4 linked regions of the Saccharomyces cerevisiae S288C genome follow. Changing the gene in region 2 together with the main gene of any one other region gives a genetic interaction. Each region holds a gene or a part of one and is shown on either strand. Other genes may lie near its edges.

The links.
Region 1: mutations in DCC1 (region 2) and GIM3 together harm fitness more than expected from each alone (negative genetic interaction), as found in Saccharomyces cerevisiae (8 studies listed by BioGRID, with this or other methods).
Region 3: mutations in DCC1 (region 2) and SRS2 together harm fitness more than expected from each alone (negative genetic interaction), as found in Saccharomyces cerevisiae (9 studies listed by BioGRID, with this or other methods).
Region 4: mutations in DCC1 (region 2) and CLB2 together harm fitness more than expected from each alone (negative genetic interaction), as found in Saccharomyces cerevisiae (7 studies listed by BioGRID, with this or other methods).

The regions. Positions count from the first base shown.
Region 1 is NC_001146.8:345,169-350,178, forward strand, and holds GIM3 (tubulin-binding prefolding complex subunit GIM3), read right to left. Parts: upstream 891-5,010; coding exon 501-890; downstream 1-500. Other genes in the region: serine/threonine protein kinase YCK2, read right to left, coding at 1-108; INN1 (Inn1p), read left to right, coding at 1,145-2,374; RPC31 (DNA-directed RNA polymerase III subunit C31), read right to left, coding at 2,598-3,353; PGA2 (Pga2p), read right to left, coding at 4,199-4,588; ALF1 (Alf1p), read right to left, coding at 4,739-5,010. UniProt on the Saccharomyces cerevisiae protein: Binds specifically to cytosolic chaperonin (c-CPN) and transfers target proteins to it. Binds to nascent polypeptide chain and promotes folding in an environment in which there are many competing pathways for nonnative proteins.
Region 2 is NC_001135.5:92,625-98,577, forward strand, and holds DCC1 (Dcc1p), read right to left. Parts: upstream 3,140-5,953; coding exon 1,997-3,139; downstream 1-1,996. Other genes in the region: NFS1 (cysteine desulfurase), read right to left, coding at 153-1,646; BUD3 (Bud3p), read left to right, coding at 3,657-5,953. UniProt on the Saccharomyces cerevisiae protein: Component of the RFC-like complex CTF18-RFC which is required for efficient establishment of chromosome cohesion during S-phase and may load or unload POL30/PCNA.
Region 3 is NC_001142.9:255,818-263,800, reverse strand, and holds SRS2 (DNA helicase SRS2), read right to left. Parts: upstream 6,379-7,983; coding exon 2,854-6,378; downstream 1-2,853. Other genes in the region: protein kinase activating protein DPB11, read left to right, coding at 1-1,044; GWT1 (glucosaminyl-phosphotidylinositol O-acyltransferase), read left to right, coding at 1,249-2,721; TOK1 (Tok1p), read left to right, coding at 6,989-7,983. UniProt on the Saccharomyces cerevisiae protein: ATP-dependent DNA helicase involved in DNA repair at least for UV-induced lesions. The polarity of the helicase activity was determined to be 3' to 5'.
Region 4 is NC_001148.4:769,320-775,224, reverse strand, and holds CLB2 (B-type cyclin CLB2), read right to left. Parts: upstream 3,573-5,905; coding exon 2,097-3,572; downstream 1-2,096. Other genes in the region: B-type cyclin CLB5, read left to right, coding at 43-1,350. UniProt on the Saccharomyces cerevisiae protein: Essential for the control of the cell cycle at the G2/M (mitosis) transition. Interacts with the CDC2 protein kinase to form MPF. G2/M cyclins accumulate steadily during G2 and are abruptly destroyed at mitosis.

The sequences.
Region 1 (5,010 bases), on a different chromosome or scaffold from region 2:
ATTGACCAATCTAACATTGCTACGGTTAGGCATTTGTGAGTTCATTGTGTTATTATTGACAGCTAAACCAGAGTTCGTTGCTGTCAAAGGACTTTGCACTTGAGACATTTTTGGAAAACTATTTTCTTGGCTTATATGCTGTGTTCAGTAGAAACAACAAGTTTTGTCTATCAAAATGGAGAAAAAAACTTTCTAATATGATCTGCACAGAAACACGAAACACAACCACGTTCTTAAATCTCGAAAGAGAAAAACAATATCAAACGAAAGAAGTAATTTCCGTAAAGAAACTCTTTTTTTCTGTCTGAAAAAAAAGGTACTTAGGAATATATGCGGATTACAAAGGTATACAAAAAAAACTCTATCTCATACACAATAACTTAAACTTGCTTTTTATTATCATGTTCTTTACTTTTCTTTAATTTCCCTCCTGAAAAAATTAAAAATTTTTCATTACTCATTTTGTGGAGACACCCACAGCCCACACTTTAATGAGTGTTCTAACGTTCAAGGTTGATATTATCACCAAATTTAGCATACAGGATCGCCTTCAGAGCATCAAGACGGGAATCAATGTCTCTTTGCTTGTCCTCTAAAGTCTCTATTTTGTTGTCGAGACGTTCTGCGTCTTTTTCGAGCTGTGCGGTAACTTTGCTCTGTTTCATGAAGATAAAGAGGTCGCCCACCTTGTATTGCACGGGCTCATCTTCGTCAATCAATTCAATTTCTAGAGACACATCATCGAGGTACTCCTTCTCCTCCCTCTGTAAACTCAATTCCTGCGCAATGGCGTCCTTACGCATAATCAACTTCGAAAACTCGTTGATCTTTTGCTGATCTTCGAACGTTACCTGAGTGTTGTTCCTTTGTCCCTGTGGTAACAGTTCCATAATGGTCCTCTGTTAGTTTCTTGGCGTTGTGTATTCTGGTAGTTTCCGCAGGACCAAACAGAGCATAAGTCCTCTAAGTACTTAGCTTCCTGTAAAATTGTATGAAAAGCCGCCTCTGCTGATCATGAATGACGGCCTAGCGTTCCTCATATGATTTAGATAAAAACATAGAAAGGTATGTTAATAGTACGAGAGAATTCGGAGACCTTAGGTTTCACAACTGGAATTGGGTTAACTCGTTGAGTCACTGTCGAATGTCCGAAGAAGTATGGAATGGAAACCAAGGAATCCTCTCCGTATATGTGAGCAAAGCTAGAGACTTGCCTAATTTGAATAAACTGGACAAGCAAAATGTAATGCTTAGGTTGCGAATAGCTCATATGACAAGAGCCAGCAACACTCTACATCGAGCAGGTCAAAACCCTGTTTTCCATTATTTAGAAAAATTTGATATTACTCCAGAGATAAAGCCTTTAATGTACGTCGAAGTTTACTGCGATAGAAGGAAAAAATCTCCGCTGCCAATTGGAAGATGTGAAATAGACCTTTTAAATGCTATTAGAGCAGACCCGAAGGAGGGTTATTGTACCTGGTACGAACTGAAAAGAAGTGGGGATGAATTTGCTGGCACTATATTCATTGAGTTGACTTTCACTCCCAAAGTACCTCGTTTAAACAGGGACGATCTTAACAAAGAAATGGACAGGTTGGATTCATCTATGGCTATGAGGCCGATACCACCATTGCCAACAGAATCAGAGTATGACTATGTTCATGGTTCTACGATGAGACAGATTACTCCCCAGTGTGTTAGCACAAGTCACGAGGATAAGGATGAGGGACAGCCCTACAGAAATGGCAATGTTTTCTCCATGTCATCTAAATCAGATACAGCGGTATTGGCAAATAGTAATGACCCAATAATTTTACCTCCAACTTTTTCAGCATCCATGGGTACAACGTCTACATTAGAAACTAATGATACTGCTATATCAAACACTTCGAATACAAAATTCCATTTTGCCAATTTAAGGAAATTAAAGGAGAAGATAAATATATTTAAGAATCCTGATAGTTCAACAAACAACTGCCAAAATGAATCTAACAAGGTAGATATTGAGGCACTTCAAAAGGCTATTGGTGTAACTTCGTTGTCTTACGACGAAGATGATGACGATGACGACGAAAATGACGCATTTTATTCTTCCAGCCATAGAGTCTCCCACAACTATAACCAACCGCCCTTACCTCCTATACCGACCAGAGATGATATGTCCAATTATTCAAGTTCGCGCAATACGCCGTTAGTAAGAAGAGATAGACCCTCACGCCTAGATTCCTCTTCGCCTAACTCACATCCTCATCCATCAGGCCTGAATTCTCCAAAACTACCACCTCTACCGACTACTTCGAATTCCAATTTTAATTCGAGGAAGAATTCGATGTCTCCTACAAGAAAAAGACCACCTCCAAGGCTCAGCTAATGACAAGAGAAACATGCTGTTATTGTAATACTAATATTTAAATAGAATTAAGATTTTTAATGTTTACCAAGATTTTTTCTTTTTTAAATTTTATTATTTCAATATGTATACATAAATCTGTTGCGCCCTCACCGCCGATCTAAACCATAAAGAAAAATGCTAATTGTACAAATTCTGCTTTGAAGAATATCCAAAAATATGGTAAAGCGGTATAAATTTTCAACTAAAAGGCGGCCTCTTCATTTGGATCCTCTTCATCACCGTAATCATCATCGTCACCATTGTTGAAATACTTTTCAGCATTATAATCATCATCATCTTCTTCGTCTTCATCTTCTTCGAAATCATCATCCGCCAAATCATCATCTTCTCCTTCGCCTGTTTTACTTCCTTTTGCTGCCCCATCACCCGTCGACGCATCATCCACATCTTCTGCCAACTCCTTTAACTTTGCCAGCATGGATAGTCCGATGTTTTCATCTTGTAAACCTGTACCAGTAAAAACATCATCGGCATTATTAAACTTGGAGATTGCCAATAATTTTTTCTTGTTGATCCCCATTACATTGTACAATTCATTGGGAAAGAGGTTCAAATTATACGGATGATCATCAATAGAAATACCTATTTTCCTTTTTTTCAAATATTTATCGGAATATCTTTCAATGCCATCATTAGTATCGTCTTCGTCTAGGATTATGTTGGGTTTGCGTTTACCGCTCTTGCTGTTTTCCTGTTGATCTATTATCAAGCTCATTGATCCGGTATAAAATGGGCCATCTTTAACAGTCTTTCCAAAATTGATGTACTTTACTGCTAAAGATCTTTCCTTATTTGTTATAGGACCATTGATGGGCAATGGGATGGATGGAAATTCCGTAATATGATTTTTGCCTACATCTCCATAACCTAATCCGAAGGGTAGATTGCTCATATAGTTGCTCCCGCCACCTCTACTGCCGCCCCTATAAGAACTCATGTTTGTTCGGGGTATATATGCTCGGTACTATCAAGTTACAATATCTTTCTGTCGTGTTGTTTTCTATAGGTTGCTGCGATGAGGAAACTATTTTCTTCTTTGAGATTTTTTCAAATTTCTCTTCATTTTTCATGCGGCCGCACAAGAGTTGAAACCACTGACGAAAGCAATTTCAGTTCATTGAGTTACACCTAGCGAGGCACTTCTTTGTGGAATGGTAGCCATTGTATTGAGATTTTTCTTGTCGACCATCAGCCTTTTTCTTCATAAGAGAAAAGAAGATCTCGTTCATGACTGCTAATTACTTTGAACGATCACCTCTGCAATGTGACATTTGTTCGAAAGCCGCCCATTAGTATTGAAAATAATTTATATTTTCAATTGGCTAGACTACGAAATTTGGACAAGCCATTGCTGCGTAATCCTTTCTCTTCTACGTCACAGTACATCTCTTTAAACCTTTTCGTTTCTCGGCTGTTTAAGGAAAGTATCGTCTTGCCGTATCTACATAAATCAATTCTTACCCATTTTCTTTTGCATTCTAGCCGTTAATTCACGGCTTAGTCGTTTGATATCGTGTTTGAATTGTGAATTGCATCATTCATGCGGAATGGGAATCATCGCAGTCGTTATCCGTCTCACAAACGTCGGCATTTGCTGACTATTAAGGCGACACGTAACCTACAAACTCAATTTGAGACGCAAACGCAAGTTGATTAGACGTTGAGAATGATGCAAGTAGCAACATCGGTAATGGTTAGACTATTTTATCAGAAAACTATAGAAAAACTAAAAACAAAACAATGTCACAATGACAAAGAGGAACCCATACATACACAGAGAGCCTATTCTTCCAGTAGTTCCTCAATATCAGCATCACTATCTGGGTCCAACCCTTGGTTTCTTCTCTTAGCCTCTTCCAAAGCGTTTTCAAACAACTCCTGTTGTCTTTTAACTCTTCTTCTAGTTTTCTTACCCCAACCGAAAGAAGTTGTTTCTGCTGTTGCAGCATCATCTGGCTTGTCGATCAGGTCTTTTGATCTCTTTTCCTCTTTGTCTCGTTTGTCCTTTTCCACTTGGGCAGCCAACTGCTTCTTCGCCAATTCCCTGGATGCGATATTTCTTAAGAGTAAATAACCACCTACAATTATCACCAATCTTATAAAGTGCTTGTAGTCATAGTTGACTAGTTTTGCCATCCAGGTATCCACCCATGTTTCCGCTACTTCAGACATCTCTTTCAATTACTCGGCAGTTTTTCTCTTCATAACATCTTTTCCTCATACAAACCGCCGAGTGCACATAAATACAACTACAAATAATAATATGTTGACATCGGATGGAGATCACTAACTAAACCGCCACCGCGCTAATTCTGCACAAATTCAAATTTCATCATCGCTCTCCACGTCATCATGGACGTCTTCCACCTCGGCGGATTCTTCGTCTTTTGATAGAATTTCCACAGCCCGCGGACGCACAAACGATCCGTGACCCGGCGCCACAGGCCCAAACAGTGTTACCCCATTTATGCGCCCATCGTTTTTGCCTGCGGCTTCCGGGAATTCCACACCGCACCATGTGCCCATCACGTCCAACGGTAGTGGTCCTACGTACCGTAAAATGGCCTCACGTGGAGCGCTCCCGTCTACTGTGA
Region 2 (5,953 bases):
GAAAAAGAATTGCACTTTAACATTAATATTGACAAGGAGGAGGGCACCACACAAAAAGTTAGGTGTAACAGAAAATCATGAAACTATGATTCCTAATTTATATATTGGAGGATTTTCTCTAAAAAAAAAAAAATACAACAAATAAAAAACACTCAATGACCTGACCATTTGATGGAGTTTAAGTCAATACCTTCTTGAACCATTTCCCATAATGGTGAAAGTTCCCTCAAGAATTTTACTCTGTCAGAAACGGCCTTAACGACGTAGTCGACCTCCTCTTCAGTACTAAATCTACCAATACCAAATCTGATGGAAGAATGGGCTAATGCATCATCCTTACCCAGCGCATGTAAAACATAAGAAGGTTCTAGGGAAGCAGATGTACAGGCTGAACCCGAGGATAATGCGATATCCCTTAGTGCCATCAATAAAGATTCTCCTTCCACGTAGGCGAAAGAAACGTTAACACACCCTGGATAACGATGATCTGGAGATCCGTTCAACGTGGTATGTTCAGCGGATAATAGACCTTTGACTAATTTATCGGATAGTCTTTTGATGTGAGCTTGGTCGTTGTCAAATTCTTTCTTCATCAATCTCGCAGCTTCACCAAATCCCGCTACCAATGGGGGGGCCAAAGTACCAGATCTCAATCCTCTCTCTTGGCCACCACCGGATAGTAAAGGTTCTAATCTAACTCTTGGTCTCCTTCTTACATAGATGGCACCTATTCCCTTTGGACCGTAAATCTTGTGAGAAGAAATTGATAGTAAATCAATGTTCATTTCATTGACATCAATGTGAATCTTACCATAGGCTTGTGCGGCGTCAGTATGAAAGTAGATCTTATTCTTTCTACAAATTGCACCAATTTCTTTAATAGGTTGAATGACACCGATTTCATTATTGACAGCCATCACAGAGACGAGACAGGTATCTGGTCTAATGGCATCTTCCAATTCCTTCAAATCGATAAGACCTTGATCGTCCACATTTAGGAAAGTGACTTCAAATCCCTCCTTCATCATGGCCCGTGCGGCTTCCAAGACACACTTGTGTTCCGTTCTAGTGGTGATGATGTGTTTCTTAGTCTTCTTATAAAATCTTGGGACACCCTTAAGAACCATATTATTAGATTCGGTCGCTCCCGAAGTGAATATTATTTCCTTGGGGTCGGCATTGATCATCTTTGCTACGTGAGCTCTAGCATTTTCCACAGCAGTATTTGTTTCCCAACCGTAAGAGTGAGTGTTGGAATGAGGATTACCATAAAGTCCCGTATAAAACTTCAACATCGTATCCAAAACCCTAGGGTCTGTTGGTGTAGTGGCTTGCATGTCAAGATATATGGGACGAGTACCAAAACCTGTGTTTTCTTGATAAGCATGGCTCATTGCAGTGCTACCAGAAGCTACTACAGCATCTGGGGTGGTACCGGATGCACTCGCACGGGCACTAGCCTGTGCCTTTGCAGCAGCCTGAATATCGGTATGCGTTTCCAGAGAGAAGTTGTCGTCTAACTTCACGCCTGCTGCAGGAGGGGAATAGAATCTCCTGCTTACCAAACAAGCCCTATATGTGGCCGCTGGAACGTTGTAAACTTGAGATAATCTTGTTATCGATCTTGTAGCAGTTGATTTCAACATCTTCCAGTTGTAGCAGTTCCTTCGTGTATGCGATATATTTTAATGAAAATGATGTATCTGAAATAGAAAATATAACACACTAATGAACTCTGTCGGTCTTTACTCTGAGTGAGTTACTTAGATAGTCATCATATATCCCTGGGCGATGGCCTTACTATTTGTCAGCGACCGTATCTAAAATTGGTAGGTCACTATCAACTATTGCGGGTAATAGGGTGCATAATAGTATTGTAATATATATAAATATATAAAGCTACTATGATAGATATTTGTTGCTATTCACGTCATCCACTATTACTTTAGTGGTTCCGCTATATATTCGCATTGCCCATCGAAGGCAGTTTTGTGTGCTACCTGCTCGTGACCACGGTCTTTTTGCCCAGTCTTTTACGGCGGGCATACTTCATGATGAAACTGTCTATTTTCATACCTCTTGAATTTAGTTCTTCAATTAGAGGCTTGATATCCTCCAAGTCCCACTGTGACTGTAGCCTAAACAGGACTTTAAACCGTTCTTTGGGGTCCATTGGTAGTGTGCTTTTCGCTATATACTGGACAGTCTTATCGGTAGGCTTGAAATGATAGCCTCGCAGCATGTCAATGTCAATGTCACATGGGAAGAAAGGTGGGAAAAGGGACTTCCACTTGATGAGGAACTCATCAATTGGCATGCTTATTCCAGAAACATATTTCCTTAGCGCTTGAATCCCGTACCACTGAGCTATAAACGGTATTCTCAAGCGCCACGTATTGTTTTCAGCCTCTTGCTCTTGAACAGCAAATTTATTCAGCACTGTTTCAATGATTTCTCTTGTGTATGGATTGAACTCGTCCTCAATGTCCTTCCCCACAGCGTGATGTGTATCCTCAACATTCAGATGCTGTAGATCGAGTGATTCTGCCATTGCGCTCATCAGTAGTACATGCAGTGCTTTGAAAAGGAAGTCTTGTGAAAGAATACACAACACACCGTCTTTCACAGATCCACCAATCTTATGCCATTTTGATATACCTTCTAGCGCAGAACATGGTGAGTTCTCAAGTAGTTCTTCCAGGGTCCCGATAACCTTTGTAGATGACCTCTTCATGATTTTGTCGGAGAAATCCAGTTCTCCGTTGTATATTGGTACTGAATTCAAGTTCAATTCGCCATGTGTCTCTCTGGTCTCAAATTCTGATTCAGTCTTGGCGAATCCCACGACGTCCATGTACGGCTTGGACAGTCCAAACAAGAGCGTTTCGTCGAAAGTAATAGGTTGTTCAGGAACAAATTCTCTCATTAGTAGAACTGTGTTTGAATGTTTGCGCTGCTTCAGCACCCAAGTCTTGTCGTGCGAACACAGTACAACTTCAGACTTGTCTTTGTCCAATGACTTAAACCTTAACTGGTGATTTTGAACCGGATCCTGTATTATATCCAGTAACTCTGGTGTCAACTGGATCAGCTTATAAGATGGATCATACTCGGGTGCGGAATGTAGGTTGATGGACATGGTACAGGATTATTAGTGAGCAAATCTCTGGTGGATTTTTACCGTTCATCTCATAGTGCTTTTTTAGTTTATTTTTCACTTTTTTCTGGTTATACTATACGCTGCCTACTGAAGCAATAAGCAAGAAACACAACAGTATAAAGGGACAAAGATAATAAACCGCCTACTACTAAATAATATCGCTGTGGTATGCTACTCCTAGAGATTTCGATCACCATCGTGGTGCTCTTTGTCATACGCATAGAATTGACAAAAAAGAACCCTAAGCTATAAATTAGGTCATGTTGAGCGATTGCCAGTTGCCAAGACCTAGGGTTTTGTTCGAACAATTCTAAAAAGGTAAATAAAAACAATGGTAAACAAAGGCTTTGATCTTCAATGAGGAAGATTTCTCTCACTGCGGATAGTAAAAACAACACTAGTTTGTCTGTACTCGCATTCTACTGCTGCTACCTGCTACTCATTACGTGTTCGGGCTGTTATCTGGTTGCTAAAAGAGTATATTTACACCTCACCAATGGAGAAAGACCTGTCGTCTCTTTACTCTGAAAAGAAAGACAAAGAGAACGATGAAACCTTATTTAACATCAAACTATCCAAATCTGTTGTCGAGACCACACCGCTAAATGGTCATTCATTGTTTGATGATGATAAATCACTTTCAGACTGGACGGATAATGTGTTCACTCAATCAGTATTCTATCACGGGTCAGATGACTTGATATGGGGGAAGTTCTTTGTCTGCGTGTACAAGTCCCCCAACAGCAATAAGTTGAACGCTATAATATTCGACAAATTAGGAACATCATGCTTCGAATCCGTCGATATATCTTCCAACTCGCAATACTATCCGGCCATTGAGAATTTGAGTCCAAGTGATCAGGAAAGCAATGTTAAGAAATGCATTGCTGTCATTCTGTTACAGCGCTATCCATTACTTTCACCATCAGACTTATCACAAATATTGTCCAATAAATCGGAAAATTGCGACTATGACCCCCCTTATGCTGGAGATTTGGCTAGTAGTTGCCAGTTGATAACAGCAGTTCCTCCAGAAGATCTGGGGAAGCGCTTCTTTACATCAGGACTTCTGCAAAATAGATTTGTCAGCTCTACCCTGTTAGATGTTATTTATGAAAACAATGAATCCACCATCGAACTAAATAATAGGTTGGTATTCCATCTGGGTGAACAACTTGAACAACTTTTTAACCCAGTCACAGAATACTCACCGGAACAGACAGAATATGGTTATAAGGCGCCAGAGGACGAATTACCCACAGAATCGGATGATGATCTTGTCAAGGCCATTTGCAACGAGTTATTACAACTACAAACAAATTTTACTTTCAATTTGGTAGAATTTTTGCAAAAATTCCTGATCGCCTTGAGAGTCAGAGTACTCAATGAAGAAATTAATGGGTTATCCACAACCAAATTAAATCGACTCTTCCCACCTACAATAGATGAAGTCACAAGAATCAATTGTATTTTTCTAGACTCGCTAAAGACAGCAATCCCTTACGGTTCCCTCGAAGTACTGAAGGCATGCAGCATTACTATTCCTTATTTCTACAAAGCATATACAAGACACGAGGCGGCCACAAAGAACTTCAGCAAAGATATTAAATTGTTTATTAGGCATTTCAGCAATGTAATTCCAGAAAGAGAGGTCTACACGGAAATGAAAATCGAGAGTATAATTAAGGGACCTCAGGAAAAACTACTGAAGCTAAAGTTAATTATAGAGAGATTGTGGAAGTCGAAAAAATGGAGACCGAAAAATCAAGAAATGGCAAAAAAATGCTACAACAATATCATTGATGTCATTGATTCGTTTGGAAAATTAGATTCCCCACTTCATTCTTATAGTACCAGAGTATTTACTCCATCGGGAAAAATCCTTACAGAATTAGCCAAATGCTGGCCCGTAGAACTGCAATACAAATGGCTGAAGAGAAGGGTAGTCGGTGTGTATGATGTAGTGGATTTGAATGATGAAAATAAGAGAAATTTATTAGTCATATTCAGTGATTATGTGGTTTTCATCAATATACTGGAGGCAGAAAGTTACTACACTTCAGATGGATCAAACAGGCCCTTAATCTCAGATATTTTAATGAACTCATTGATCAACGAAGTTCCGTTGCCCTCCAAGATCCCTAAGTTGAAAGTGGAGCGTCATTGCTATATAGATGAGGTTCTAGTTTCTATATTAGACAAAAGCACTCTACGTTTTGATCGATTGAAGGGAAAAGATTCTTTCTCAATGGTATGTAAATTATCCTCTGCATTTATCTCTTCTTCGTCAGTTGCTGACTTGATTACGAAGGCTAGAATTTTGGAAAAAGACACTGCATTTCATTTATTTAAAGCTAGTAGAAGCCATTTTACATTATATTCTACTGCTCACGAGCTTTGCGCTTATGATTCCGAAAAAATAAAATCAAAATTTGCCTTATTCCTGAACATACCACCATCCAAGGAGATATTGGAGGTCAACAACCTTCATTTGGCTTTTTTTGCAAGATTTTGCAGTAACGATGGTAGAGATAACATCGTAATCTTAGACGTCTTAACCAAACATGACGATAAACATATAGAAGTTACATCCGATAACATTGTTTTCACCATAATTAATCAATTGGCCATTGAAATACCGATATGCTTTTCTTCCTTAAACTCATCGATGGCCAAAGATTTACTCTGTGTAAATGAGAATTTGATAAAAAACTTAGAACATCAATTGGAAGAGGTCAAGCACCCTTCAACAGACGAACATAGGGCTGTTAATAGCAAACTTTCCGGTGCATC
Region 3 (7,983 bases), on a different chromosome or scaffold from region 2:
TCAAAACCCTTCCTCAGCACAATAGAGTTTCAAGTTTCGTCTTCTTCAAAGTTATTGCATCATGAATTTTCTTCTTCCCCTTTTCTGAATGTTACTATCACTGGATTCTCTGGCGTAGAGCTGTTACATCTGACTAAAGTATTAAATCTTCTAAAACCAATGGGCATCAATTATGTAGAATACCTCAATAAATCCACTGACATTCTGCTAATCAACTTAGCAGCTTTACCCAGTATCCCGAAAACCCATCCGTTATGGTCGAATGAATTTAGCGATCTTTTTACTCAGTTTTGCATTAATAACAATAATGATGATCCTGGTGATAATAACAGAAAAGATTTTCAAAATAATTCAATCTTGAGAAATTCGATGAAAAGGAAAATTGAATATATCAAGAAATTCCACTCCATACCGGTAGTTACTCCAGCATTTATTTTTAAATTATTGTCCGCTGCATCTGGAGAAAATAATGAAATCTTTTTAAACAATATCAAGTGGTGTATTATCTGCCCAAGAGGACACAAGGACGATTTTAAATGTAAGATAAAAAAACCATACTATACCAGCATTAGTTCAGAAAAAAAGTACCAAAACAATGATCCAAAAATCGACAAAACTATTCTTTTGAAAAGAAACAATTCCTCATTATCGGAGCACTCTATGAAAGATACCAAAAACGAATTATTGCAGAAAATTAGAGAAACTGATTCTGGAAGAAAAAAGCGTAGTGTCTCATCGAGTATCATGGATGTTTCTTCAGAGAGACAAATGCCGGATACGAAAAGGATCAAGTTGGAGTCACTGCCAAAAAATTTCGTTCCTAAACAAATTAAACGAACCACGAGTTGGGGCACAATAATGTCAGAAAATGTGCCTACAGAGCAGCCGACTGCAATTTCTAATCCAGAAGAGATCCCAAGAACTGAGGAAGTTTCACATACTCAAGTTACCTATGGCTCCATTCAAGATAAGAAACGTACTGCCTCTTTAGAAAAACCTATGAGACGACAGACAAGAAATCAGACAAAGGAATTAGATTCTTGAAATGTAGTCCGTAATTTTATAAGATATTCATTTACATACGCCATCTACAGCATTATTCAAATCTACTCATCTATATGTATTACCGTTTTGTATGATAATACTTTCCATGACATGCTCGCGTGAAAAAACAGCATGAGAAAAAGAGGATCGCAATAAGAAGACACGTAAATATCTAAATAAATGGCAACAGTACATCAGAAGAATATGTCGACTTTAAAACAGAGAAAAGAGGACTTTGTGACAGGGCTCAATGGCGGTTCTATAACAGAAATTAACGCAGTGACATCAATTGCTTTGGTAACTTACATATCATGGAACTTATTGAAAAATTCCAACCTTATGCCTCCTGGCATTTCCAGCGTGCAATACATAATTGATTTTGCATTGAACTGGGTTGCTTTGCTTCTATCTATTACTATTTATGCTAGTGAACCATACCTTCTAAACACGCTAATACTGTTACCTTGTTTGCTCGCATTCATATATGGAAAATTTACTAGCTCGAGTAAACCTTCTAATCCAATATACAATAAAAAAAAAATGATTACACAGCGGTTCCAACTAGAAAAAAAGCCGTATATTACTGCGTATCGTGGTGGGATGCTTATTCTGACTGCTATTGCCATCTTGGCTGTAGATTTTCCAATTTTCCCAAGGAGGTTTGCCAAGGTGGAAACTTGGGGGACATCCCTGATGGATCTTGGTGTAGGATCATTCGTTTTCAGTAACGGTATTGTTTCTTCTAGGGCACTGTTGAAAAACCTAAGCTTGAAGAGTAAACCCAGCTTCTTAAAAAATGCATTTAATGCCTTAAAATCAGGAGGAACTCTATTGTTCCTAGGATTGCTGAGGTTGTTTTTTGTAAAAAATTTGGAATATCAAGAACATGTCACAGAATATGGGGTTCATTGGAATTTTTTTATCACCCTATCATTGTTGCCACTTGTATTGACCTTTATTGATCCCGTCACAAGAATGGTTCCACGCTGCTCAATTGCAATATTCATTTCATGCATTTATGAATGGCTACTTTTAAAGGACGATCGCACTTTAAACTTTTTAATTTTGGCTGATAGAAATTGTTTCTTCAGTGCTAATAGAGAAGGCATCTTCTCATTTCTAGGTTATTGCTCGATTTTTCTTTGGGGCCAAAACACGGGATTTTACTTGTTGGGAAATAAACCAACTTTAAACAATCTTTATAAGCCTTCTACGCAAGACGTAGTTGCAGCATCAAAGAAGTCTTCGACTTGGGACTATTGGACTTCAGTAACCCCATTAAGTGGCCTCTGTATATGGAGTACAATTTTTCTTGTTATCAGCCAGTTGGTTTTTCAATACCATCCTTATAGTGTTTCAAGAAGGTTTGCTAACTTACCATATACTTTGTGGGTCATTACTTATAATTTACTATTTTTGACTGGGTACTGCTTGACTGACAAAATTTTCGGTAATTCTTCGGAATATTATAAAGTTGCCGAATGCTTGGAATCAATCAACTCCAATGGGTTGTTTTTATTTTTGTTGGCAAATGTCTCTACTGGTTTAGTCAATATGTCTATGGTCACGATAGATTCTTCACCCTTAAAATCATTCCTGGTTTTGTTGGCATACTGCTCATTCATAGCTGTCATATCGGTTTTCTTGTATAGAAAAAGAATATTCATTAAGCTATAATAACACACCATCCACATTTCCATGTAGTTCGTATACAAACCCTACCAGTAAAATAAAATTAACTCCTATGTGCTTTAAATAAAAATTATAAACCGCCTCCAATAGTTGACGTAGTCAGGCATGAAAGTGCTACTAATCGATGACTATGATTTCACCGTTGTTTAATTTTGACTTTTTTTTCGCACGTGACAGCTGAGAAAATATATCCATTTGACTTGATGCAGGTTCATTCTTCACCTTTTTGGAAAATTTCTGTGTCTTTTTCATTGCTGCGTCAGCCAAAAACTTAGCATTGGAGATTATTGGACGATTGTCAACTGTAGTGTCATCCGGATTATGTAATAACTCAGCAGCTGTTGTATTTCTGCTGTCATCTTCCTCAAATTCACTCTTCAAATCTATCACTTCCTCCACCTTAACCTTGTCACCTCTCTTAGACTTTCTATTTCGAGTTTTTGGTTTTATTTTTTTCGTCTTTTTCGAGCCCAAAAGCTCTCTCCTCCTTTCTATTGATATGTCATTTAATAACTCCTCATCGGATAGATCTAATTCGTTGTTTATATCTTCTATTAAGTTCGTTGGCTGATCAGAATTACTGCACGCGCTAGAAAACCCAGAAAATTCACTCGACGTAAGCGACTGCCCTGATTTATTGGAGTATTCCGGAGGATGCAGTTCATCAACATTTGACTGGGTTTCTATTCTGAAAGTTCCTGCAGTTGCGAAATGAATATTACGAGTAACTTTGTCCTTCCTCGTAGGTGATGGTCTCATTAAATCATCTGACATGTGGCTCGTCTTATTTGGAGATGCTCCTTTTAACGACCTCGTTGATGATCGTGGTGATATGTCTGTGATGGACCTATCTTCTCTTCTCAGAAAAGGAATATTTTTCCCAGTAGAAGAATGAAACTCCTGCCTACTAGGTACATTAGTTGTTGAAACGTATTGAGGTGCATACACCTTTTTCTTTGTAGGAGAATGGAATGATGTAGTTTCTGGAGCGTACCTTTTTTCTGGACTTTTAACTCTACTTTTAGGAGCGTAATTGCCATTGATTTTGGATGGGCGTGATTTTTCAATAAGTTTCTTCTGTGGGAATATAGAGTTTTGCGTTTCGAGTCGTAACTGGTCCGCAGCTGACGTGAAATCACTAACAGAACCCAATAATTTATTTCTAGACAACTGTATTCCATAGACATCATTCATTTGTATCCCTTGCCAAATCATCCTTTCTCTCCTATTTTCAATGAATTGGTTATAGTCTTTGCGCAATTGGTCAAGGGAGAATAGTTTATCATCTTCAGCAGGCGGCTTTTTGTTCAAAATTCGGTATAGTTTTTTGATACTATTCGTACTTTCAAATAATTTTTGGCTATCGGACATGGCTTTTATCAAGTCAGTAGTCAAAAATCGGCTTGCAATTCTTGGTCTATCGACATCTTCCACAGTTACAGTATTTGATAGGTACAACAGGTATTTTGCACGAGTCTGTGCAACAAAAAACATTCTTCTTTCCTCATCTATAGAATCTTCCACGGATAAAACTCTAGTCTTTTTTGGGCTTGCATCTTTCTTACTATTTTCTTGATCTTCTTCTTCGTCCTCCTCTGATTCGTCTTTCTTATCATCGTTGAACACACAAGGAATTATACCTTCTTCGCATCCAGGAATAAAAACTACCGGCCACTCAAGACCTTTGGCACCGTGAATTGTAGATATCGTGACAAACCCATTCTTCTCACGTTTTATTTTTGCATCTTTATTGGATTCCGACTCTTCCTCCTCAGCTGCATCAGAATGAAGGGAAAGTGAATTGAAGAAATTACGGAGGTATTCTTTTGGAGTGATGACCTTGTTCTCTATTGGTTCGGCTTCATCTGTTGCTGCTTTAATGGCTTCATTTTTTTCTTTATCTGAAGATTCTGACTTGGAAAGAAGAGCCAGGAAATAGTTTTTCAAAAGTTCAATATTCTTATGTCTTGCGTTTAATAAATTAGGTTCGGATTTTTCAAGCTGATCATTTTTTTTCTTACCATCCTTGTACAAGTATTCGTATTTCAGACCTGATAATTCATATAGCTTATCAAATAAATCTGAAAGACCCCCTAGTAAAGTGCTCTGGAGCAACAATTGACAATTTTCTATCATTGAAATGAAGTCAGCAATCACAGAACGGCCTTTCGTCGGTATGTCTAGCATTATTTTTTTACTACTTATGTCTTTCAATATTTGGAAACATGACACATCGGTAGCTAACGTGTCCAATGCGTTCTTAATCTTCTCACCGGTAGCAGGACCAAGGCCCCTTGCTGGATATAAAAGTGAAGCAAGAATTGCATGTTTGTCATTCGGAGAAAATATCAATTTTAATAAATTTAACATCGCTCTTGTTTCCTTGGAATCCCAGAAACTGTGGCCCCTAATAATTTTATAGGGTATCCGATGTTCTATTAATGCACTTTCGATCCTTTTAATTTGTCTTCGTTGTCTTACTAGGATAGCAAAGTCATTAAATGTGAATAGGTTTGGCAATGCCTTCAAATATAGTAGTTCCCGAACTAAAGAAGGTGCTTCCAAAAAGTAAGCGGGGAAATTCATGTAAACTGGTGGAAAATCCAGGTCAAATTGGGCACGGAGTGGAGCCCTATTCTGCCGACCTTTGTTTTGTTGCGTTATTAAAATTTCGCTTGTATTTAGAATTTTTTGTGATGAACGATAATTTTCAACAAGTATGATAGTTGAGTACTCGATGGGACATTTTCTGCCCATTTCTAGAAAGTTGTGCGCTAAGGCGTTTCTGAAAGCATATATGCTTTGATCAGGATCACCTACGATGGTCATCCCCCTCGAAAGATGATGATTTCCCTTAGCAAAAAGAAACATCAAGTCCAATTGAATGCCGTTAGTATCTTGAAATTCGTCAACTAAAACATGCTTTATGTTGGATAAAACACGCACTCTAGTCAGCAAACGAAAGGTGTACATTAATAAGTCATCAAAATCTAACGTATTTTTCTTGCTTAGCTCTGATTGGTATATTTGGTAAAAGTAACCAAGCGCGGCGTCATGATTCGAATCTAAGATGTATTCCTCAGGTAATATTGCGTTTGATTTTAGCTTTGATATCTGTTTCTTGATCAGCTTCGGATGAATAGTCCATTCATCTCCATTTTTACTCGGCATACAAAGATTTACTTTCCTTGTGATTGAGGAAGCATAATCCCTTATTTGGTCGGGAACTTTTTCGATCATATCATCTAAAATGACATCTATTTCCTTCTCATCAATAATTCTCCAGTCTTTCTGTAGATCCACCAAGTGGCCAAATCTATAAAGTATTTTCAGGCAAATACTATGAAAAGTACCAATTAAGAGCTCCGAAATATTCACGCCTGCCCCGCGTAACATTTCTTGCAAACGCTCTTTCATTTCGTTAGCAGCTTTGTTAGTGAAAGTAGTCACTATAATATCGCGGGGATGAATATGGTGGTGCAGAATAAGATACGCTACTCTTGAAGTTAAAACCTTAGTCTTCCCTGTGCCGGGACCGGCAATGACCTGCAGCCCTCTAGTGTAATCAAAGAGGGCCGCTGCTCTCTGTTGAGTATTTAACTGGGATACTAAATGCAACCAAAGATCATTGTTCGACGACATTTGCTATCCCTAAGTACCGGTAGAAGAAAGATCAAATTGGAATGATACTCAAAGTGCAGAGTACAATTATGGATGGCAAAAGAAACTAGAGGGACAGGAAGCTGTCTAAAAGCTGTAGAGAAATATTCTTATCTTGCCGACTGCAAATTTATCGAGACTCTGCGAAGGTAGCCTAAGCAGTAGTATCAGGATAGCTGGAGGTAACTCTAAACTCGCTCCTATTCTTCTTCAGCATCGTTCTAATTGTTGTCACTTTTGTTTGTTTTGGTTTTTTTGGGAGTTTTTCGCATTCGCGTCTCGTTACCCTAGCATGTTTTAAGCGGCGCTATCATTATGGTTGAAGAGAAAGTTGTAGTTTATCAACAGTTAGATACTTGATATACAATACGAAGCAGTGGTTGTGTATACAAGTGAAGTACTCAATGTAATATACATTACCTGAGTACTCAGTACCATCTTGGTTATTCAATATGGCAAAAATGCCTGACCCTATGTATCTTTTTCCATCAAAAATAGCCGCATCTCGTAGATCGTGAGCAGATGTCTTCACTCCTTTCTAGCAGTATAACAAAGCATATTTCTTGTATTTATTTTACCGATTTCTATATATATGACAAGGTTCATGAACAGCTTTGCCAAACAAACGCTGGGATATGGCAATATGGCGACAGTGGAGCAAGAGAGCTCAGCTCAGGCTGTTGATTCTCATTCAAACAACACACCGAAGCAAGCTAAGGGTGTTCTTGCAGAGGAACTAAAGGATGCATTGCGGTTCCGGGACGAAAGAGTTAGTATTATTAATGCAGAGCCTTCTTCAACACTGTTCGTCTTTTGGTTTGTGGTTTCATGCTATTTCCCTGTGATTACTGCCTGCTTGGGTCCCGTAGCTAACACTATCTCGATAGCCTGTGTAGTTGAAAAATGGAGATCCTTAAAGAACAACTCCGTGGTGACAAATCCACGAAGCAATGACACCGATGTTTTGATGAATCAAGTAAAGACAGTTTTTGATCCTCCTGGTATTTTTGCCGTTAATATCATCTCTTTGGTACTGGGTTTTACGTCAAATATTATACTAATGCTACATTTCAGTAAGAAGTTGACGTATCTTAAATCTCAGTTAATAAATATAACAGGATGGACAATAGCTGGAGGGATGCTTTTGGTGGACGTGATTGTATGCTCCTTGAATGACATGCCCAGCATCTACAGTAAGACTATCGGATTTTGGTTTGCCTGTATCAGTTCTGGTCTATATTTGGTATGCACCATTATTTTAACAATACATTTTATTGGATATAAATTAGGAAAATATCCTCCAACGTTCAACCTTTTGCCCAATGAAAGAAGTATCATGGCATACACTGTACTATTGTCTTTATGGTTGATTTGGGGTGCGGGTATGTTTAGCGGTTTATTGCACATCACTTACGGAAATGCATTATATTTCTGCACGGTATCATTATTAACCGTGGGACTAGGTGACATCCTGCCCAAGTCGGTTGGCGCCAAAATCATGGTTTTAATCTTTTCGCTATCTGGTGTTGTCTTGATGGGTTTAATAGTGTTTATGACAAGATCCATCATTCAAAAGTCCTCTGGCCC
Region 4 (5,905 bases), on a different chromosome or scaffold from region 2:
CTTTTCCCTGTATTTAAAGCCGCTGAACACCTTTACTGAACAATGGGAGAGAACCACGACCATGAGCAGAGTATTAAAAGAAATTCTATGATTTATAATGAAAATGAGAGGCAGTTGTGCAATTCAAACCTAAAGATTCTTCAAAATAAAAGGGCCCTTTCAAAAAATGACAGCTCTAGTAAGCAGCAGGTTCAGGATTCTAAACCAAGAAGGGCTTTAACAGATGTACCAGTGAACAATAATCCTTTAAGCCAGAACAAGAGAATAGTAGCAGGGAGCAAGGCGGCCAAAGTACGAAGAGAAGAAAACATTAGACCTATTGTTAGCGCCGTTCAAAAAAGACAGATATATAACGATCGAACGGCAGCAGAGCAAGAAGAAGAAGAAGAAGAAGAAGGAGAAGATGATGATGCTGCTTCGATAGTGAACAAAAAACGCAGAATAGACGCTGAAGGAGTGAGTGAAATAGTAGGCTGGCAGGACCTAGATTATGTTGAAAAAGATGATACTGCAATGGTAGCAGAATATTCTGCTGAAATTTTTGCATTTTTATATAGAAGAGAATTAGAAACGTTACCATCGCACAACTATTTACTCGACAAAACGTCCAAGTATTATTTGAGGCCTTCCATGAGAACAATATTAGTGGATTGGCTGGTAGAGGTGCACGAAAAATTTCAATGCTATCCGGAAACGTTATTCCTATCCATAAACTTAATGGATAGATTTTTAGCTAAAAATAAAGTTACGATGAACAAGTTACAATTATTGGCAGTTACCTCACTTTTCATCGCGGCAAAATTTGAAGAGGTAAATTTGCCCAAACTAGCTGAATACGCTTATATCACTGACGGCGCGGCTTCTAAAAACGACATAAAAAATGCGGAAATGTTCATGCTCACTTCCTTAGAATTCAACATTGGTTGGCCCAACCCACTCAATTTCCTAAGGAGGATCTCCAAGGCAGATGATTACGATCCGGTTAATAGAAATATTGGTAAGTTTATTTTAGAGTATGCCTACTGCTGCCACCAATTCATTCATTTACCTCCATCTACCGTAAGCGCAATGGCAATGTATATAGCGAGAAGAATGACCAACAGAAACAAGAACGAGCTATGGAATGGAACACTACAGCATTACAGTGGTGGTATCGATCCAATACACGATGAAGCGTTTCAGTCTCTCTGCATTGATCTAGTCAAAGACATCGCTAGTTCCAAAACTCATTTAGATTCATTGATTTTGAAGTACAAGAAACCAAGGTATGGCTCTGTTTATTTCCAAACTTTCAAGTGGTGTACATCCGAAATGCATAGCAACTTTCAAAATCTATTTAATCTTAAGTAGATTAGTACTAGTAATGCTCATGAATTCGCATACTCTTTACATTTTCTTTTCTTTTTGCTGAACTAAAAGGAAAAAATTTTTTGCATCTATCTATCTATCTATATATATGTATATATAGTTTATAGTGATATGCGTGTTCACTTCAACATATATAATACCACCAGTATTACTACTATTATCATCATTAATATTAGAATTTTTTTTGTTTTTAAATTTATTCTTTTATTTTTATTATTATTATTATCATTATTACTATTAAAAAATTATTATTATTAATGTTATTCCAATGTTAATTATAATAACTATACTGAAATAATTTTAAAAGAAATGAAAAATGAGAAGAAAGCAGCATTTTTTAAGAGACTAAGGTTATGATATTTCCCATAATATCAACATCCGATACTGATGCTTTTCTTTGTCTACCCTCGCTACATGCATCCGGAAACGGTTGAACTGAAATAGAATAAAACTTATGGTACAAATCTGAAATTAAAATTAAAAAATTAAAATTAATGGTGTGGTGTTATTAGTGAGAATAAAAATGGAGTTTTATTTTGGAAATCTTAGGCTTCGAATGATTTTTTATCGTCAGTTTAAAAATAACAGAATGAAAGGCGCTAAAATTGGGTGTGAAATTTGTAAGAATAAATGGAAATGTGAAAAGAAATGATTAAAAAGCAGCCATACATTTTATATGGACATTTATCGATTATCGTTTTAGATATTTTAAGCATCTGCCCCTCTTCTCATTCATGCAAGGTCATTATATCATAGCCGTTTTTTCTAACCTTTAAAGCCCATTGGACGGAAATTATAGAAGCTTTCATAAATCTTCTAGATTGATATTTTCTATGAAATTCATCATGAACAATTGGACTCACTAGATAATCCATTATCATGTGACACACGGGCGCAAGTTCTTCTTTAGTATACCCGCCGCTATAGTGTATTAGATTTCCATCCCATTTACCTTTACCTAACATTTTTCTCGACATAAACATCGCAGCTGCTGCACACAATGAGGGTAGTATCCCAATAAATCTGAAATCTACCAATGATATCTCTAATAAGAATTTGGCAAGAGTTCGAGACTGTATATCGTAGTCATCTGCTTTCGAAATTCTTCTCAGAAAATTCATCGGATTGGGATAATTTAGGTTAAATTTCAATGTCTTTAAAATGAATTTCTCCCCTTCTTTGATTTCATCTTCCGTACATGCACCGTCTGTCTCTGATGCGAAATGTTTTATACTAGGAGAATAGACCTCTTCATATTTAGAGGCAATGAAAAGGCATGATGTGCCAACCAATTGTAACTTATCCAGTTGAACTAGCTCTTTACCTAAAAACCTGTCCATTATGTTAATGGCAAGATACAAAGTCTCCGGTAATAAGCCGAATTTATTATGGATTTTAACCAACCAATTAACTAGGATATCTCGATTTTGATGAATATTTCTATGCTGATAGAGATCTTCCTTCTTTGGAAGAGTAATGACCTCTAGTTGGTGGAGATATTCGAATATATCATTGACGTACTCGCTGACCATGAATGGATCATTTACATCTTCTGCATCTAGGTCTTCCCATTCATATTCTTCTTTGCCATTTTCATCGCACACTTTAAACTTTTTGGGCAGTTCTTGTTCAACAATTGTAGAAATTGGTCTTTTTTTTCCACTATCAGTTTCACTTTCGGTATTTCTAACTTGAAGTTGACTTCTAGCTGGATGAAGTTTTTCGTTTTCTACCGAGTTATGGACTACCTCAGTGCTTGATCCAACGCCTTTTAGGGGATCATGCTGGATTATCTCCTTCGCTGAGGAGGATTCTTGTAAACTTATATTTGCAGGCAGCTCAGCTCTCCCCTCCTTTATAGAAGTTAGCGCACCAAATTGCTGACTACTTGGGTCTTGGTTTTCTTTATCATCTAAAAGATTGTTTTTGGGGAGTTGGATACCATTTTCTTTCAGGGTTCTTTTCTCCTCTTGTGCGGCTGTTGATCTTGATACGCTTTCTCTAGTAAATTGAGGAATCCGACTTCCCTCCTTCTTTACTGAGTTTAGTGTAGATTTGAAATTTGTTAGGGCTGGATTATTCGCATTACTCTTTTGAAATGTCGTATTTGTTACATTGTTTAAGGCCAACCTTTGTACATTCCTCAAAAACCTTGATGAACTAGTATTCTGTGAGTTTTCTGTGTTTTCTATTGGGTTGGACATCTATAAGATCAATGAAGAGAGAGAGGGGGTAATCAATAAAAGGCTTCTTGGAAGGAAATAGCAAGTTATAAAAAAACTTCTGACAAACGAGCGAATGAAGTTTTTATACAATGATTAAAATTTCTCCAATGTCGTTAAAAGAATCTAAAAGGACAAAAATACAAAAGGAAAACAGATGCTCAATCAAAGAACCGCTTCAACAGATATTCTATGTCAATTTATTGAATAGCTCGCAGTAGGTTTTTATTATACACTGGCTCAATCAAAAAGAAAGAAAAAAAGAAAGAATAAATAACCAGTATCCTTTAGCTATATTTCTTTCGCTTTTCAGAAGTATCAATTCGAGAATACTTTACTTCTTGAGGTATAGGACAAAATTAATACCAGAAAGATTCAATTTTAGTAAATTTTTGGATCTTTTCAAAAGTCTAGCTAAATTGGCAAAAAATTAACCTAAAAAAAATCTATTTTATTATATTTTGATTTTTTTTCCTTTCTAAATTTTTGAGAAAGGATCTATTTCTCTTTTCCCCAAAGAGGTTATATTTTCCATTAAGAGCAAAATTTCTGAAACTCTATGCCCATGCTATGAGATGCTAGCTGTAACGAGTTTGCTATTTCCTCGAGGGACAGGCACCGAAGTTCATCCATATCGCGAACTTCGTTGTTGACCTTTTCCTGATTCGGTCGCTATATTTACAAATCTCCTTTTTTGATTAGTGCCTTGAACTTGCACTTTCCTAAACGGGCTCAATATGTAAACATATTATACAAATAGTTACCCGCATTTGGAATAAAATCTGTCTTTTGGCGGCTATTTCCGCGTGTTTGATTAGAAGGAGTAGTGGTCATTCTAATAATTCCACTGTGCTAATGCACTCGCACTTAATTTTTAAACTTCCGATGCATCAACACTAATGATCATAGCATAAAACGCGTAGAAGGCGATCTTAAGTTTGAGTCCCCCTAAGGCACCTTAGTAGACGGTCAAGAACAGGGTGTGAATATGGGCGATATTCAAGCGAGATTAGGACTTATAAAACAACAACAACAGGGATAACAAAACACTTGACCCCTATTTTTGTAATAAAACCGTTTTCAAGGTAAGGCAGTTAGTAATTTATGTACAACAGAAATTTCTGCCATTTCTTTCACGACAATAACGTAGGATAAGGCCATGAAAAACAAAAATACTAAAGTGCTTATCTAATAAAAGGAAAGGATTAAGCAGTTCCTGCCCATATTTTGGAAAGGCCGTAGCTTAGTTTCCCTGAAATTTACTTCAAGAAAGGTCTGCTTAGCAGTCACATATGTCAATTGTGGGCTGTTTAGTCAAAACCACTTGGAGGTTGATGAATTGATAGTATTTTGGTAAATGAACTAAATATACATTATCAATAAGACGTTGGAGGGGCTTTCTGTATAAATTCACCGAACACTCCCAAATTATGATAAACTTGCTTAAGCATCTTTTCGAAATGCAGTGCATGTGTTAAGTGACAAGCTAAAGGTAAGACATTACGATAATACTCTGTATAGATCGTAGTAACATGAATTATGAAGCATATAAAAATAATATGAAATGTTCATCGAATTTAATAAGTATAAATGCATGAAGATAATAATTCAATAAGATAGATAAACAAAAACGCATGAAGAGAACTTGTAGAACAATAAGCATATATCACCACTCCACTTTTTCTGAAAATTGTGTAGAAATGTAAATTCTGTGATGTTCGTTATGATTCAGTTTCTGTTTCTCAATCTCTATGTCATACTCTTACGCTATATGATAACACACTAGTAGTAGGAAAACTGGTCAAGAGATGATTGTTGTTTCTTTTCCCAACTCATACACCCCAAACAAATGCCTTTATCAAAATCCGATCTCAACACTTATCTTAGTTTACACATTTATCAAATAAGGTTGGCAATGTACCTTTTTCGGAAGGTAAACATCAAATATTTATAGAAATATTTATTAAGGACGCTCTGTTGTATTACGGGCTCGAGTAATACCGGAGTGTCTTGACAATCCTAATATAAACAGTCTTAGGGAAGTAACCAGTTGTTAAAACAGTTTATCAGATTAATTCACGGAATGTTACTTATCTTATATACTATATAAAATATGAATCATACTAAGTGGTGGAAACGCGGAATCTCGGATCTAAACTAATTGTTCAGGCATTTATACTTTTGGGTAGTTCAGCTAGGGAAGGACGGGTTTTGTCTCATGTTGTTCGTTTTGTTATAAGGTTGTTTCATATGTGTTTTATGAACGTTCAGGATGACGTATTGTCATACTGACATATCTCATTTTGAGATACAAC